2 linked regions of the Oryzias latipes genome follow. The protein of the gene in region 1 purifies or fractionates together with the protein of each later gene. This does not show direct contact. Links are inferred from orthologs where the notes say so. Each region holds a gene or a part of one and is shown in the gene's direction. Other genes may lie near its edges.

Region 1 (7,800 bases):
GTGCCCACTGAGGCGTGGAATAAGCTTGTCAGCTGGTATGGCTGTCTGGAAGGCCAAAGACCCATCGTCAGGAAGGTAATGCCGTAGAAATGGGGCTGTGTTATAATGCTGAATGTGTTGACAGCTCTTCCAAATGTCTCCTTCTTTTTCCCTAGGTGGTTGAGCATGGCATGTTTGTTAAGCACTGTAAAGTGGAAGTCTATTTGCTGGAGCTCAACTTGTGTGAGAATGACAACATGGACAACGTTGTAACACGCCATTTTAGCAAAGCAGATACTATAGGTGAGGTCATCACAATTTTGACTTTAGCCACGGGTAAGCAGCGTCTCCTCTCACTGTTTATCATGCTTTTTATGTTTTCAGACACTATAGAGAAGGAGATGCGGACGTTGTTTGAAATCCCATCAGAGAAAGAGACCAGACTCTGGAACAAATACATGAGCAACACCTATGAGCAACTGAACAAGCCAGACAGCACTGTACAGGACGCCGGGCTTTTTCAGGGACAGGTAAGGAAAACCAGCAGGATTTAAGTCACACATGTAACTGCTACGCATGTTTAATGCACTCCCATAATCAGTCCTGAATAGGGGTGTGTATTGGCAAGAGTCTGGCGATAGGATACGTATCCCGATATTGTCATGGAACACATTTGTTCTCTTTCTTTTAAAAATATGACTTAGAAAAAACTCTACCTGAATTTCAATACGTCTTTCATTGTAATAAAATGGTCAAATTGAGTTTATTTAATGATCACAATGTTAAGTTCTGCAACTGTATCTCATATATAAGTCGCTTTAACCCAGGCAAATTTGTAGTGCTTTTGTTTTGATAACTTAAAATCTAGAAAGGGAACATTCAACATTTTCTGATTTCCACAACAAAATATATTTCAATATATTAAAAATAAAGAATGAATGTGCCTTAACCAATAATGTTCCAAAAGTATGATTGGGGAAATAAAGCGCTTTTTATTTTAAATATATCTTAATGTAGCTTCTCCAGTACTTTGAAACGGTTCAGAAAAAATAAAGGTAAAAACAAAATACTAATTCTTTCAGGAACAATAAAGTGTGATGATGACGCTGCGTGACAGGATGAAGGAGAGTTGTTTTAATGTGGCGAAGATGCTTTGTTTACACATCTGCACTGCAGCCACGCTTTCTCATGCGGAAATAAACTAACGCTTATCGCCTCGATGTCAGCATTTTTTCGATCAGGTCGCTAAACTAGAATCCATTGCTGGGAGGTTCTGCAGGCCCACTTTGGTTGATGCTAAGTGCATTATCCTATCAGCCGCTGTGCAGCTGCACTGCTTCAGTCGTTCTTATCGGAGTCCACTACAAAGCACCACAATCCGCGTTACCATGTTGATACGGGCAGCAACATGGCACAGAGCTTCAGTTCGGTATCCATCCCAAGTAAAAACTAAGTAGTTCATGTCTCATAACAACGAAACAAGCTGCCTCCAGCTGCGGTCTTCCTGTTTTGTGCAGAGTAGAGCTGCTCAAAGAGGCTCCTTGTTCTCTGCTACCAACTAGCGGTCGGAGGGCAAAGTGGAAAACAAGAGTCAGGCACTAAAGGACGTTCAGAAATAATTACATAAAAATCGTCCTGGCAGCATTTTGAATTGATACAAGTATCGCCAAATTAACTATCGCGATATATTACCGAATCAATTTTTTCTAACACCCCTAGTCCTGAAGTGCAACATTTGACTGAGTCCGTTGGGAGAGGTTGGACATAAAGTTGTTGCATCTATCCTGCTGCACTGCATTGTAAGCATTTTTTTATTGTGTGGTTCTGCAAACATTGATGGTCGTGGTTTGAATCCCGTCTTGGATCTTCCTGTGTGGAGTTTGCATGTTCTCCTCATGCATGTGTGGGTTTTCTCCGGCTTCCTCCCATAGTCCAAAAACATGTTTCTTAGGGCAATTTAGGTTACTCTACAATATCACCAGGTGTGTGTGAGTGAGTGTGTGGCCTGCGACAGACTGGCAATCCGTCCAGGGTGTACCGGCCTTCGCCCAACGTTAACAGAGACAATTCCAGCAACCCGAAAGGGATAAAGTGGGTTAAGTGGATGGATGATGGTCTCGGAGAACAGAAAAGGGATTCTTCTTTGGTTCACATAACTTTGAAGTAGAGTCAAACACGTTTTCACATCATGCCTTAAACATTAATTGTGTTGGTGTAAAATTCTTTTGCATTTTCAGTATTTAATTTTTAAAAAAAGTCTTGTGCGACAATAAGTTTATGAAGCCCTGCATATTTACACAGGTGCTTGTGATCGAGCGCAGAAATGAGGACGGCACTTGGCCCAGACAGGCTTCACACCCCAAGTGAGTAAACGGCCACTGTTTTAGTTGGTGAAGACAAATGTGTTTCCTCCAGTCCCCCAGCTGGACGTGCTTGAATGTGCAGAGACATTGTTAGTGATTTTGGAATCTACAAAGTTAGAATTTGTTTTTGTTTTGATGGTTAGATCCAGTACAACGCCATCCAGAAATTTCTCTACCTCCCCAAAGCTGTCTTCAAATTCGTCCATGAGTATATCACCAACTGCAACCAATGGAGACAGCAGCTGTAGCCCTGGATACACACTAAACAACAGCAGCACTTCCTCTAGCAACAGGTACCACACTTCCTCCTTCACCTCACTTATCTTCAGTTGCAAAGTTTGGGAATATTTGTACATTTTGTTACCAATTTCTAAGCGAGCTAGTATGAAATGTCTGAAGTTATGTAGCTATGTGATCATATGATAACCATCCATGATTATTTTATTTGTTTTTATTTATTTGGAAGGTTTTATTGGTTAACGTTTTAGACACGTTGCCATCAGGGTTCACTCTTTAGAAAAAAGAACTGGTAAAGCTGTTTTTGATGTTTGAAAAGTATTTGCTTTTATTAAATATTTACTAAATATTTCATTATTTATGCTCTGCTTTGGAAAGCAGAGCATAAATATGATGATGTATATCTTTTTTTTAAGTCTGTTGTATTTGATCATTTTTCCCTTTATCTGTATGAATAAACAAAAGATTTTCTTTACAAAGTTTAAGTTTATTTGGTTAAAACTGGAGCATATTCATTCCTATGAAACATTGAATCAGTTGTAAATGCTGGAAATCTGAGAAGTGCCAGAGTTTGAGCCTGCTAGTCCTTTATTTTTGTTTTTATTAACTTTGTGAGGTTTTTGTAACCTTCGGGGAACAAGAGTAACAGATCTTTTCTCCACACAGGTTGGGGAGCTACAACTCGTATAACTCGTACAGCTACAGAGAATCCCAAGCACAGCCTGGCCTTTGCGGTCTCAGTAATTTGGGGAACACATGCTTCATGAACTCTGCTCTCCAGGTATTTAAAAACTGAAATAAAAAACCTATTAAACCAATGTCTTTTAATTAAAAAATGTTAAAGCAATAGCATTGTTTTAAACCTTTTGAGTAATTATTATTAACTTGTTCTGAACTTCCCCTCTGCCTCCAGTGCCTGAGCAATGCACCTCCCCTCACAGAGTACTTCCTGGATGACCAGTACGAGGCAGAGATTAACCGTGAGAATCCGCTGGGAATGAGGGGCGAGATCGCCGAGGCCTACGCAGACCTCGTAAAGCAGATGTGGCTGAGCCGCAGCAGTTATGTGGCACCACGGACGTTTAAAGTGAGTTTTTTTTAAGCAGCTATTTCAGGGAAGGATGTCGAAAGGGCAAAAATGATTATGAAGTCACCGTTGTGGTTTGTCCTCCTCTCCAGACGCAGGTTGGGCGATTTGCTCCTCAGTTTTCAGGGTACCAGCAGCAAGACTCGCAAGAGTTGCTGGCCTTTTTGCTGGACGGACTCCATGAAGATCTGAACCGTGTCAAAAAGAAGCCTTACCTCGCCCTAAGAGATGCCGAGGGCCGTGAAGACGAGGTGAAACTCTTTCAATACTCGCATGATGGTTTTTTTCCCCGGGTTGTAACCAGCTCATCTAGATGAGCTTTGATTCTGATTGAAGATGGTTGTCCACACAAGTTATCCTGGATGGTGTCAGTAACAACCAATTGGTGTTGGCAGATGTTGTCCTCCTCAGTGCAGTGGTTACAGAAACGGGTGATGAAAGTGCTCCAGAATTATTCTGTGTTTGTGTGTCCCCTGTCGCCCCCCCACAGAATACGGCTTATTCTTCTTTGACACCTTTACCTGAAGGAGAACGGCTTTCTGTCATCAAAACCATTCGTTTCCCTCTGAGTCTTTTTAATGCACGATGTTTGTAATTAAGGGACGTTCCTTTACAATTAAAGCCGGATTTAGTATCTGATTCTACTGACATCCAGAATGCTAGAAAACATTCAACCCATTGTTTTCCTGTTTCTCCTTATGTCTTCGTTAAATTATCTTCACCATTTTTTGCCGCTTAACTCTAACTCTCTCTCTCTTTAACTTTATAATTTTCCATCTATTTTAACCGTTCAACTATTAAAGTTCAGCTCTTTCAGCTTTTTCCAGCTGTGACTTTTGATCCTTCAAATCCTTGAACTTTTCCAGATATTCCAGGATTTTTGCCTCCATGGAAATCCATGGGGAATCCTTGGTGCAGAGGCTCCCTGGTTCGAGACCCGGCGCTGGCATTTTTCACAAAATATCTTTTTTGTTATTGTGCTGTTTTCACTTGATTTATGGTCAACTTTGATCATTTCTTTCTTTCTTTAAATTATTTTGTGCCAATTATTACCCTTTAAGTTTCATTTTCATTCAGCAATATAGCATCAACCCTGCATCTTCTTCTGGAAATGCAGCTCCTAGTTTTCCAATTGTTCTCTCAAAAACCACTTTGGCCTCGTGAACCCTCATTTGAAGACGGCTTCTTTTGACCTCTTTGCTGCCCTTGATCTGTTGTTCAGAAGTCCTCCTAACCTTTATTTCCTTCCTCATCCTCAGTGTTCAAAAGCTCTGGTGTAAGAAATGATACGAATGGATTTCTATCAAAAGGAAGTGGAAAGCTCGTGACATTAACCATTGTAAACACTTTGTTTTGGTTTCATTCTGCCTTTTCATGAGTTGCATGTGGAGTTTTAGTGTTGCATTCGAGATGCATTTCACTGTGTTCTGCCTCCTGAATGGCTGATCTTGTCCAACAACTTCTGTACAGAAATGCGGCACGTGCAGCTCGCTGGAGTTACATTCCTCTTCATCAAGATCAGACTTTACTTAACATTTGATTATTCTGGACTTATTTCTCTGTGAATGTTTGAGCTTTGAAAGTTTAAACGAGAGAGAAAAGTGTGAGTGTTCATTTCAAATAACCACTTGAAAAATGGTGATTTGTGTGACTCCGTTGGGTTGAAGTTTCTCCTCAGGAAATGGGCTTGTGTTTGTCTTTGGTCTTACATCTTGTTGGTAGGAAGTTAGTGGCATCTTTGCAGCTTCAGAATGTGAGGTCCTTTTCTTTAAGCTCCAATCTAATTCCTGACCTTGTTCTTATAAACCTTTGGTTATTGATGCCATCCAGACCGTGTCATCAACCACACTGGCCTCCACCACAGAGGGTCTTGCTGCAGCAATTTGGGAATCAAGCTCCAACTTCTCCTTTTTCTTCTGTCTCTTTTTGCAGTCCGACTTTCTCCTCTTGAGCCTCCAAGTCCTCCTTTTGTTTAAGATGAAATGTTTTCCACTCATACCGCTTTCTCAACTTTTGCTGTCAGACAGAGGAATGCTGGAGACAAATGCAGCACGACCACTTCACTTACATCGCACCAATGTCACATCATGGTGCTGTGATTTGTCATCATCATCTTCAACATCAGATTTAACATTCTTACCCATCACAAAATTATTTGTGTTCAATCTTTAATTTTATTTTTTATAAAAGCATTTTTTCCAGACATTTCTAACTGAAGGCATCCTTGTTTTCCTCACTCATCTTCAGGAAAATGAGGAAGCAGTGTGTTGAGAGCTTCAGCAGGACTTTGACGCGACCTTCTGAACATTTTGAAATCTTTGTGGATTACATGAATGTTTTTTTTTCCTCTCTGTCCTGTTGAAGCCTTTCTGATTGCTGTCAGAGCTGGATCTTATCGTTCCTCTAGATTCCGGTTCAGCAGGAACATCTTGAATGTTTGTGTCATTAGTTTCCACAGCAGCCCTTTGAGTTTTCTTTATTTCTCACTAAACGGCAACCCTCCGCATTAATCCAAAGTCACCGTCCATATGGGGAGAAATGACCATGAACTGCACTCGATGCCAAATGTATGATGGTGCCAGAGAGGCCATTTATGTCCACCTGGTGCGTCCGTGGTGGGAATGTGTTGTTATCAGACCTGAGGAGGTTTATTCTGGGACATTCATCTTCCATTTCTACCCACTTTGGTATCTAAAAAAAACCAAAAGTGTAAATTCAAAAATGATGCAAGAATTGGATGTGTTTTAGTTTGGAAAGTCTGCACTCTCTTATGGAACCAAAGGAACAATTTCAACTTTGTGTTGTTCTCCTCTGATTTCACACTTTGTCTGTAGATTAGAAACTTATTAATGTCTATTTTCCATTGTTGTGGAATTGCAGATTGTTGCCAAGGAGGCCTGGAAAAACCACCGCTTACGCAACGACTCTGTAATAGTTGATATTTTCCACGGACTCTTTAAATCCACGTTGGTGTGTCCGGTGTGCTCCAAGGTGTCGGTCACCTTTGACCCGTTCTGCTACCTCACATTGCCTCTGCCTATGAAGAAGGACCGGACCATGGAGGTGTTCCTGGTTCGGTCAGATCCTCAGTCCAAACCTACTCAAGTGAGTCCTGGTTATACCAAAGCCTTTCTGTACTGGGAGTCGGGGAGAATCCTGTGAGAGTTGTGTCAGACTGACGTTTGTTCGTCTCCCAGTATCGAGCGGTCGTCCCCAAACTGGGCACTGTGGCAGACCTTTGCAGTGCCTTGTCCAAACTCTGTGGAATCCCTCCGGAAAATGTTAGTATCATTCTTTTTTATTGCAACAATAGTTTTTGTTGATTTGAGCTGAGAAAATGGTTTGCTGAGTAGACCACTCTGTCACCCTCTTAGATGGTTGTGGCTGACGTTTACAATCATAGGTTCCACAAAATTTACAGACGAGACGACGGCCTCAACCAAATCATGGAAAAGGACGACATATTTGTGTAAGTCCTTTCGGTTGGTGAAAGGTTTCAAGCGGCTGATGCTGTTGGCTCCTCGTTGAAATGGGATGCGTTTGCTCGCTGCAGGTACGAGGTGCAGGAGGAGGACAGTGAACGGATGAATTTGCCTGTATACTTAAGGGAGCGCCAGTCCAAGCATGCTGCAAGCTCCAGTAGCACCTTGCTGTTTGGCCAGCCTTTACTCATCACCGTTCCCAGACACAACCTCACAGCAGACGTCTTATACGACAAGATACTGGAGAGGATTGGGTAAGAAGGAATTGTGTGGGTGCTGAGAAACAATTCCACACAATAATGCAAGCTGTTTGTTAGTTTATTGTATCCTGTTCTTTGATGTAGGCGCTATGTAAAGCCTTCCCAGAGTCCCAACAGTGAAAGTAAGGCATCAGCCTCTGCAACTGTGACCAACTGCAACCAAGCCCCTGAAAGCTCCACGGCATCTTGTCTGGGTGGGTGCAGCAGCCCCTTGTCGGATGGAGCCTCCTGCAGTGCCAGCTCCAGCAATGACAGCAACCATTCAGGGAGCGGCAACAAAGCCAACGGGGTCTATGATGGTGAGGACCGGACGGAAGGACACGGCTGTCTCACAAATGGACACCCTAGTGACATGTCTGTCTCTGTTCAGGTGAAGAGGAGGCCATGGACCA
Region 2 (7,800 bases), on another chromosome or scaffold:
TAGTTATTATTTTTGTCATTTTGCATGCTGTTTTAATTCAGATTGGCATCTCCAAGACACGGATTTACCATTATGAACCGTCTCAGCATGGACAATCTGACAGAGCCGATCACAAAAGACTTGGACTTTCAGCTTCAGGACCCTTTCCTGCTTTATCGCAACGCACGATGTAAGTCAGAATATATAAAAATAGCCCACAGATTTCCAGTTTCTGTCCTATTCTTTCAGCGTTTGCTGTGCATGACAGTCTTAAATACAATGCAAGCTGCTGCATTACATATTTTAGTTATTGCTGTGACCCTCTTCCTCTGGAGTTTATTGCATAAACAGATGCATATTATTAAAATCCTAATATATGAATAATAATAGCAATTAATTAATGGTTGTTTACATGTGTTTCAGTATATTTATTTTCTTAGCATAGGTCAGTTCGGGCCCACATAACCAAAGATCATAGTTAGATTTTTATGGGTTTTTTTTATGGACCTAAAATGTTTTACTAAGCCATAATTACTATGTTTATTTCTTTTGAATAGCACACAAAAGTGCAGGGTATTAGAAATGCTAAAAGAATGACATATCTTCAAAAAAAATGTTGTTGCGTCAAACGCAGCCGTATTTTTATGACTAAAACATTATTTTGACATCAAATAAGATAGGAAGGACCACGTTAGTGACTGGTGGATGAATCGGTGACTCCATTTAAGGTGTTTCAGCAGAGTTATTTCAGTTTGTTTTATCACCAACTCTCTGAGACCTGCATCGGGCGCTCTCACACACAATCACATTCTAAAGTGTGCCTGTGGGACAAGAGTCTGACAGCACCACAAAAGCAGCCAGCTGAGATTAGATACACTTCCACAGTCACTGATAATCTAAACACACGCTAGCTTAGAAGTAGCTGACGAGCACAGAGAAGGCTCCTGTCGTCTTGGCCTCCCCGTCATATACAATGACATGCAGCCGGATCTTTGTACTGAAAGAAATTGTTTGGTTTATTCATTTTTGTTATTTTACATTTACTTGGAACATGGTGAAACAGAAAGCACAATATTTAGACTTTCTATTCAGAAGCTAACAAACACAAAATAGCCGGTTTGCGGTAGGAGCATCTGCAACAAGGAACAGATTTGAACCGACTCGCTTGTGGGAAGCACGAAGCGTAAAAACACTTGAAACCAGTAATCAGGTTACAGCTGATTAGTGTGTCTGCTGTTACAATGAACAGATTAGATTGGTTTATGTAAGTAAATGAATGGTGGGTTCAAAGCAAACGTTATGGTCAAGCATAATGTTAGTTTGCTCTGATTGCTCTGGTTTAAGATGAATAATAAAAGAGCTCAAAAGTAGACATGAGTAATGGTTGTTATCAGACTGATTTTTATCAGTGTGTCTCCTAGGATTTAGAGGAACTGTTTGGCTTCAAAGAGACTCTTTGCGTTTGTAGATGTGACACTGTAGAACCAAATTTACAGAGCGGCCATAAGCTAATGTACATAAGAGGATAAAAAGAAAGATCAAGTGAGACCCATCAAAAGTAATACCCCCTACCCTATAATAGCTGCTCAAACTAATGTTTACCAAATTTCTACATAGATGACATAACGAAAGAACACTTTTAGTAGACAGAAAACGTGGTTTTATTGGAGAAAATGTGATTTATAGCTTGCTGGCATTAGTGTGCCAGTGCATTGTGACCTCTTGGTGGAGGGGTCGTGGAATCTTATCATTAGATAAACATGTCGGCCTAAGTGCTGCCGCAACTTCCTGGAACGGTGGTTGGCACAAAGTGGCAGCCCGGGCTAAAAATGAACTGCGTGGATAGGTCACAGAACAAAAATGTTTGGACAGAACAAAATGCTATTTTTCCAGCCTGAAGCCTTCAAGTTTAATTTTTTTTATAAGTCTTTACAGCTGTTTTTTTTTTTTTAGTCACACCAATATTCTAAAAAAAAATTAGTCTTTCAGCTCTCAATTTCAGTATACAGTATTTTTTTTTCCACGGATCTGTCTTATTTTCTTTTAATGTTTCTGTTCAGTGTTTTTTTTTATTTTCTAAGAATATAAAGAAATATATAAAGAAATAAAAATAAATGTCTCACATGAACATTTTTGACAGTATTGATGTTTTTCAGCAGAAATTACTTGAATTCTTTTCTCTAAATCTAAAATTGATATGCAGCATTGTTTAGTTTCTGGTTATTCTGTTGGTCATTTTATTTATATTTTGTGTTATCAGCTGCACCTTCACGCATATGTAGATCTGAGCCGACACATCCTGAGACCATTTTTAATGTGTTGTCTGTAGATTCTTACCTCCAGGTCGGACGTATGTATATCCCAGGTCTCTCTCTGACACCAACAAGCCCTTAAATCGGACTTCAGGTTCCTCCTTCAGCCTCTCATGTTTCGGTTTTCTCTGAAACAGACCTCTAATCATGGTTTCTGTCTTTCTCCACTTGCATAGAAATAATCTTGAATTAAAAGAATCCACAAAGTCCTCCTGCAGGTTCGATAAAACAAAAGTGTTTCTTCTTCAGAAGAAGGTGGTGCAGGATTGGTTTAGTCAGCCACAGGAACGGTGGTGCTCCCTCCTTTCATTTGAACCTGAGAGGCAGCCGAGATGCCTGCATTCCAGCCGAAGATGCAAAATCGACACAATAATCTCGTCTTTCCTCCGAAGTTTCAGAAGCCGTACATGTCAGTGTCTACTCCTCCCACATTGTCATGATTCCATTCCTCCAAACACAGTTAGTGTGTTTCATGTAAGGAAAGCTCTATAAGGATGTGTTTTAACTATTAGAACAGTCTAACCTCCACCAGGAAACAGTGAGAATGAAATGATAGTGGTCATCATGACAAATAGTTGAACATTTAATCAAAAACGTGACCTCATAATGCAGCCATAAACTGTCTCTGGCAACATTAGTCCTTCAAAAATGTAAGTTATAGTAAGTTTAAGCGGAATAAAAGTCTTAAATTTATCTTAAGGTTCCCTTTGTGTTGCAGCTCAACACAACCACCGTGTTGCTAAATCCCATCTAAACGTGCTTTTTCAGATACATACAGATAAACACGCAAGTCCCGTGACTTTTACTGTAGAGGAGTCATCACATATGCTCACTGTTTTGATTAAGTCCGTGTCCCGAAGGCTTTAAGGAGCGGATCTCGCAATCACAGAGTTTTGCTCCAACTTTGAAGTACAATCTCTGGTGTTATTAGTTAAACACTGCCGCTAATTTACTCTTCCTGGTTTCTCATTCGGGTGGATTTGGTTCTTGGCTCCAGATTTTAAATACTCCTCTTTCTTTTTCTTCGTTCTCTTCAGTGTCCAGTGAGTAGAATGTATCCCCCCGCCTCCTCTTTTTCCTTCTGCTCAGATTTTGGTACTGGTGGTTCCTTTTCCCGCCCTCCTGTGTCAATTTTGCTCTTTTCAGCCTTTTTTGTGCTCAGAAAGCCACCGTAGCTGTTTATCTTTAGTCAAAAGCATTTTCTGCGATTTTTCAATCGTGTCCTCTTTACTTTTGACCAGTCTGTTTGTTAGTTTATAGCTGAGGTGTTGCAGGACATGATCCTGCTTCAGACATGTCACAGTGTAGTCGTGTTTTTAGAATTCATTACATGGAGATTTTAGAACGACGTGTTCCTTTTCTGAAGGACTAACACACCTGGTAAAACTTCCTTGTTTCTCTCTCAGCGTCTTGCTCATTTTTGTTTTCTATTTTCCGGCTCCCTGACTTCGACTGTGTTTCTCTGTCCCCTGTGAGCACTCAGTTGCTCCCACTCCACCAGTCAGTCCCCCTCTGCAGTTGCTTATTTGGTCCCGGGCTGATTTTTTCCCATGCTCAACTTAACTCTGTGTGTGTGTCTCTGCCTCCCCCCGCTGTCTGTTTCCTTCATCCACAGTGACCTCTGCGGTCGGTCGGTCTGTCTGTGGGAGAATATGGGCTGTCTGTGAAGCTCTCGCTTGAAAAGTTCTTCTGTTTCCTGTTTAATGCTGCATCGTATACAAGTTTAGAATGAGTTTAGAAAGTATATTAGCCTCTTGTGACCTTGCGTCCACATACGATGACATCACATTGTGGGTTTTATTTTCACTGTAGTTCATTCTGATTACCTGTGGGCCCGTGGCTACGAAATAAAAAAAGCTATCAAACAAGAGCTCGGGTCTAAAGAGGTTAAGATGTCAAATATTCTTTTTTCATCTCAGTGTCGGATTAAAGTTATTTCAAGTATCTTTCATTTTTTCTAAACTTGTAATTCTTTCCTTCTGTTTAAGTTTTCTAACATTTTACTCATAAACTCTTATTTTTCTTAAAGGTTTTTAACATTCAAAAGGCAGAATTTCCTTGTAAAAGTTCAATAAATGTTATATGAATGGAACTTATTAAGGGGTAAAAAGCAAATTACTATTTTCCTCACAGATGTTTTTATTTCATGCTGATCATTTTAATTTACACTAGGAAATAAAATAAAATAATTTTGATTTGCTAGCTGTCTTACTAGCTCTCTGATGTGCAGAATTCACATTTTTCCACATGCTCACTGAACATGTTTATGAAGCTAAGGCGCTTTCAGAGGCACATGTTCAAACGTCCAATGGGACTACAGGCTTCTTTCCACTTGATATGGAAACAGAATGATTTCTTCAGCAATGCTAATAGTTACATATCTGATGTCTGTTTAAATGTCACAGCATCAAAATTCAACTTTTGAAAATCTGCTTTGATTTGATTTGGTTGTAGCGGAAATGCTGCATCCATAAGCTCATTCTGCTGTCTGCTGACCTTTTTGTAAAATTGCATTTAAGAAAAAAACAGCTGGTCTGTTAACATGTTTTTGTTTTGTTTTTTGGCTGTGACTGTTCTTTTATTAGTTTTCTTTTTTTTAGTATAATATTAATTCAGAAATATAAGTCTCTTTTCTGTTTTGTCCTTTCAGTGGTTATTCATGGGATTTGGTTCTATGATAAGGAAGACTGTCAACGTGTTGCCCAGAGGATGAAGATGTAAGTAGTTTTGTGTTTAACGTGTTAATCTTTAGCAAAGCTGAAATTGTGTCGTGTTAAAAGAAATAAATATTTAAATGTAGTGATTTTTTTTTTTTTTGCGTCCTTCCAGTCTGACCCATCAGGAGCAGCTCCTGGCTCATAACCAGGATGGGTGGTTGTCACCAGGAAGAGGAAGAGAAGGAATAATAGGAGCTGGAAAAGGAGGAGGAAGCAGTAAAACAAAGCCAGTCGACATCATCCAGATGTTGACCAAAGCGCGCAGCGAATTCGACAAAGTATGCTACCTTCAAAGACTGAAAGATTATCAAACGAAACATCAGTTATCAGTACATTTTTGTCAAATAGATCAACAAAATGTTTCGCTTTGTTCATTTCTTTGTTGTAGTTTTTCTTCAAAATAAAAGAGCATGTACAGTATTTCCTCTTTGTTTTCTCAGGAAAAACCTCCCTCAGAACCAAAAGAGATTGGTGGGAGCAGTGTCCTTTTTGGAAACCCCAACCTCATCAAACCAATACCCGTTAAACCACACACTCAGGTATGATTACGTTTAGATTCTGTGTCTGAGTTCCAGTTTTTGCTTAAAACATTTTTTTTTTATGTAGCTTTTGGTCAGCTTTTATTCAGTGAAATACCTTATTTTTGTTTGGTTTCTCTAACTGACATCCATTACTTATTATATAATATTATATAATATAATATAATATAATATTATATTATATTATATTATATTATATAATATAATATTATATAATATTATATTATATTATATTATATTATATTATATTATATTATATTATATTATATTATATTATATTATATTATATTATATTATATTATATTATATTATATTATATTATATTATATTATATTATATTATATTATATTATATTATATTATATTACACATTTCCTTTTGTTTAAATCTAGAGCAGTGAGGGTTCTGAGCCCAAGGCTCTTTCTTTGGCGACCCTGTTTGGATCTCAGCATCACACACCGCACTCCTCTATATCTGCTCCCCCTCCTGCTGGGAGGGCTGCCACAACCACAGGAAAAGTCTCTCGCCCCCCGGTGGCTCGCACTTTGACCTACGACGATGCGGTCACCTCAGCTGTTGGACACATTGCTCTTGCCGGGGGCTCAGATGGAGATGTCAGGCCACTACCTGGTGAAGAGAGTGGAAACGTTGTAGCTGTTCTGCTCAGTCCCTCCCCCTCCACTCAACCTCTGCAGAACGAACCCCAACACTGCCCGGCCATTGCAAAGCTGATGCAGGGCCAGAGGAGTGTTGGAGGCGGCCTGCAAACCGTCTCTGAGTCCCCGGAGAACCGACTGTGTGATAATGGGGTGCCCCTGGACCAACACCACCACCTGTATCATCATCACCATCAGCAGCACCACCACCATCATCATCATCACCAGCAGCAGCAGCAGCTTCACCATGATCCAATAAAGAAGCTTTTTCAAAGTCATTCACTTCCTCAACTGGCCACCACCTTTTCCTCCGCTGTCCGGCCCACCGCTTGTTGCTCCAATCCACCCCCTCTTCAGGCTCACTCTCACCTCTCCCCCCATTTTGTAGCAGGAGAGTCTGCCTCGTGCCCCCACCTTCAAGTACAGCAAAGCCAGCAGCTGTTTTTCAGACTTCCAGAGTCCCAAACAGAAGAACAGCACAGCAGCCAAACAGCAGCAGCTTCACTGGGAACAGGTGAGAAATGGTTTCTGCCGCATCACATAAACAAAAGCACGACATCCCAACATGTAAAACGAATTTACGTATATAGTAAACCCATTTTAAAACAAATTTAATACTTAATAGTTGGAGCAAATTTATAAAAATGAGATCACCTTTACTGACAAGGATTATTATTCTACTTTCAAAATGTTAATTCATCAATGTTTTAAGCAACAAACACTCCAGGTGTTTGATGCCAATTCAAGAACGAGTTAAATGGGGCTTCTTCAACACATTTAGCCCACGGTGTTCACGCTGAACAATCAGGGAGGGACTTCTTCTTTTTCTTCTTTTTTTCTTTTTGTTCCATTTACTAGTGCATGTCCGGACTCCAACTGTCATTATTCATTTCTCATGATCAGTTTTTCAAACCGTGGGCACCTCAATGAATTATAAGGGTCTCCATCCATACAGAGTCCCTGATTGGTCAAAGTTCGACCTGGTTTTACTTGCAAGATGCATTCAGTAGCCACGTACATAAAGCCTAAAATTGGTCGTGACAACTTGTGAAGCTTCGTGTGAACGCAAGAGTTTGCACATTTACATAGACTGTTCATTTAAAGTGGCTGCTTGAATGTTAGTGCTGAGGCCGATGTGAACCCAAGACCTTAACTGTCGGCTTCAGTTTCAGTTTTCAACGGAATGATGTAAAAGATTAGATTTAAACAATTATTTAATCATAGAGACAAGTTTCTTTTGCGCGTTTTAAAAGTATCTTTTATATATAAGTTCTGGCTCTGTTTTGTCAGGTCTGCCATCCCAGTTGCAGGGAGTGGTTTCACCTCATGAACTCCTCCAGAAGCTGCAGTTGGTCCAGCAAGAACAGAGCCTGAGCTCTCTTGATCTGCCGCGACCTCACCCCGGATTGGCTCCTCGATTCCTGGGCCCAAACCAAAACCTCAGTGCCAGTTCACCGGCGGGACCAGCCGCAGCCTCGCTCACTGCAGGTCAAAAAACGGCCCTGCAGTGTCAGGTACATTGACCCCCCCCCCGATAGCTGGTAGATTTAAACAAATAAATGTATTTCACCAATTTTGTTGTTTCTAAGCTACAAACT

Evidence for each region. Proteins that work in one complex are often made in the same cells at the same time.
Region 2: the proteins of usp4 (region 1) and dcp1b purify together in Homo sapiens (co-immunoprecipitation; 3 studies listed by BioGRID and IntAct, with this or other methods). This does not show direct contact. The link is inferred for Oryzias latipes from reciprocal best matches to the Homo sapiens genes USP4 and DCP1B.

The regions. Positions count from the first base shown.
Region 1 is NC_019863.2:3,082,894-3,090,693, reverse strand, and holds part of usp4 (ubiquitin carboxyl-terminal hydrolase 4), read left to right. Parts: coding exon 1-75; intron 76-155; coding exon 156-282; intron 283-363; coding exon 364-509; intron 510-2,280; coding exon 2,281-2,342; intron 2,343-2,485; coding exon 2,486-2,635; intron 2,636-3,245; coding exon 3,246-3,360; intron 3,361-3,492; coding exon 3,493-3,666; intron 3,667-3,758; coding exon 3,759-3,917; intron 3,918-6,546; coding exon 6,547-6,771; intron 6,772-6,863; coding exon 6,864-6,947; intron 6,948-7,040; coding exon 7,041-7,135; intron 7,136-7,219; coding exon 7,220-7,402; intron 7,403-7,492; coding exon 7,493-7,707; intron 7,708-7,778; coding exon 7,779-7,800.
Region 2 is NC_019881.2:14,482,807-14,490,606, reverse strand, and holds part of dcp1b (mRNA-decapping enzyme 1B), read left to right. Parts: intron 1-41; coding exon 42-169; intron 170-2,316; coding exon of another isoform or gene 2,317-2,440; exon of another isoform or gene 2,441-4,079; intron 4,080-4,941; coding exon 4,942-5,008; intron 5,009-5,120; coding exon 5,121-5,286; intron 5,287-5,448; coding exon 5,449-5,547; intron 5,548-5,938; coding exon 5,939-6,716; intron 6,717-7,492; coding exon 7,493-7,716; intron 7,717-7,800. Other genes in the region: voltage-dependent L-type calcium channel subunit alpha-1C, read right to left, coding at 2,317-2,440. UniProt on the Homo sapiens protein: May play a role in the degradation of mRNAs, both in normal mRNA turnover and in nonsense-mediated mRNA decay. May remove the 7-methyl guanine cap structure from mRNA molecules, yielding a 5'-phosphorylated mRNA fragment and 7m-GDP.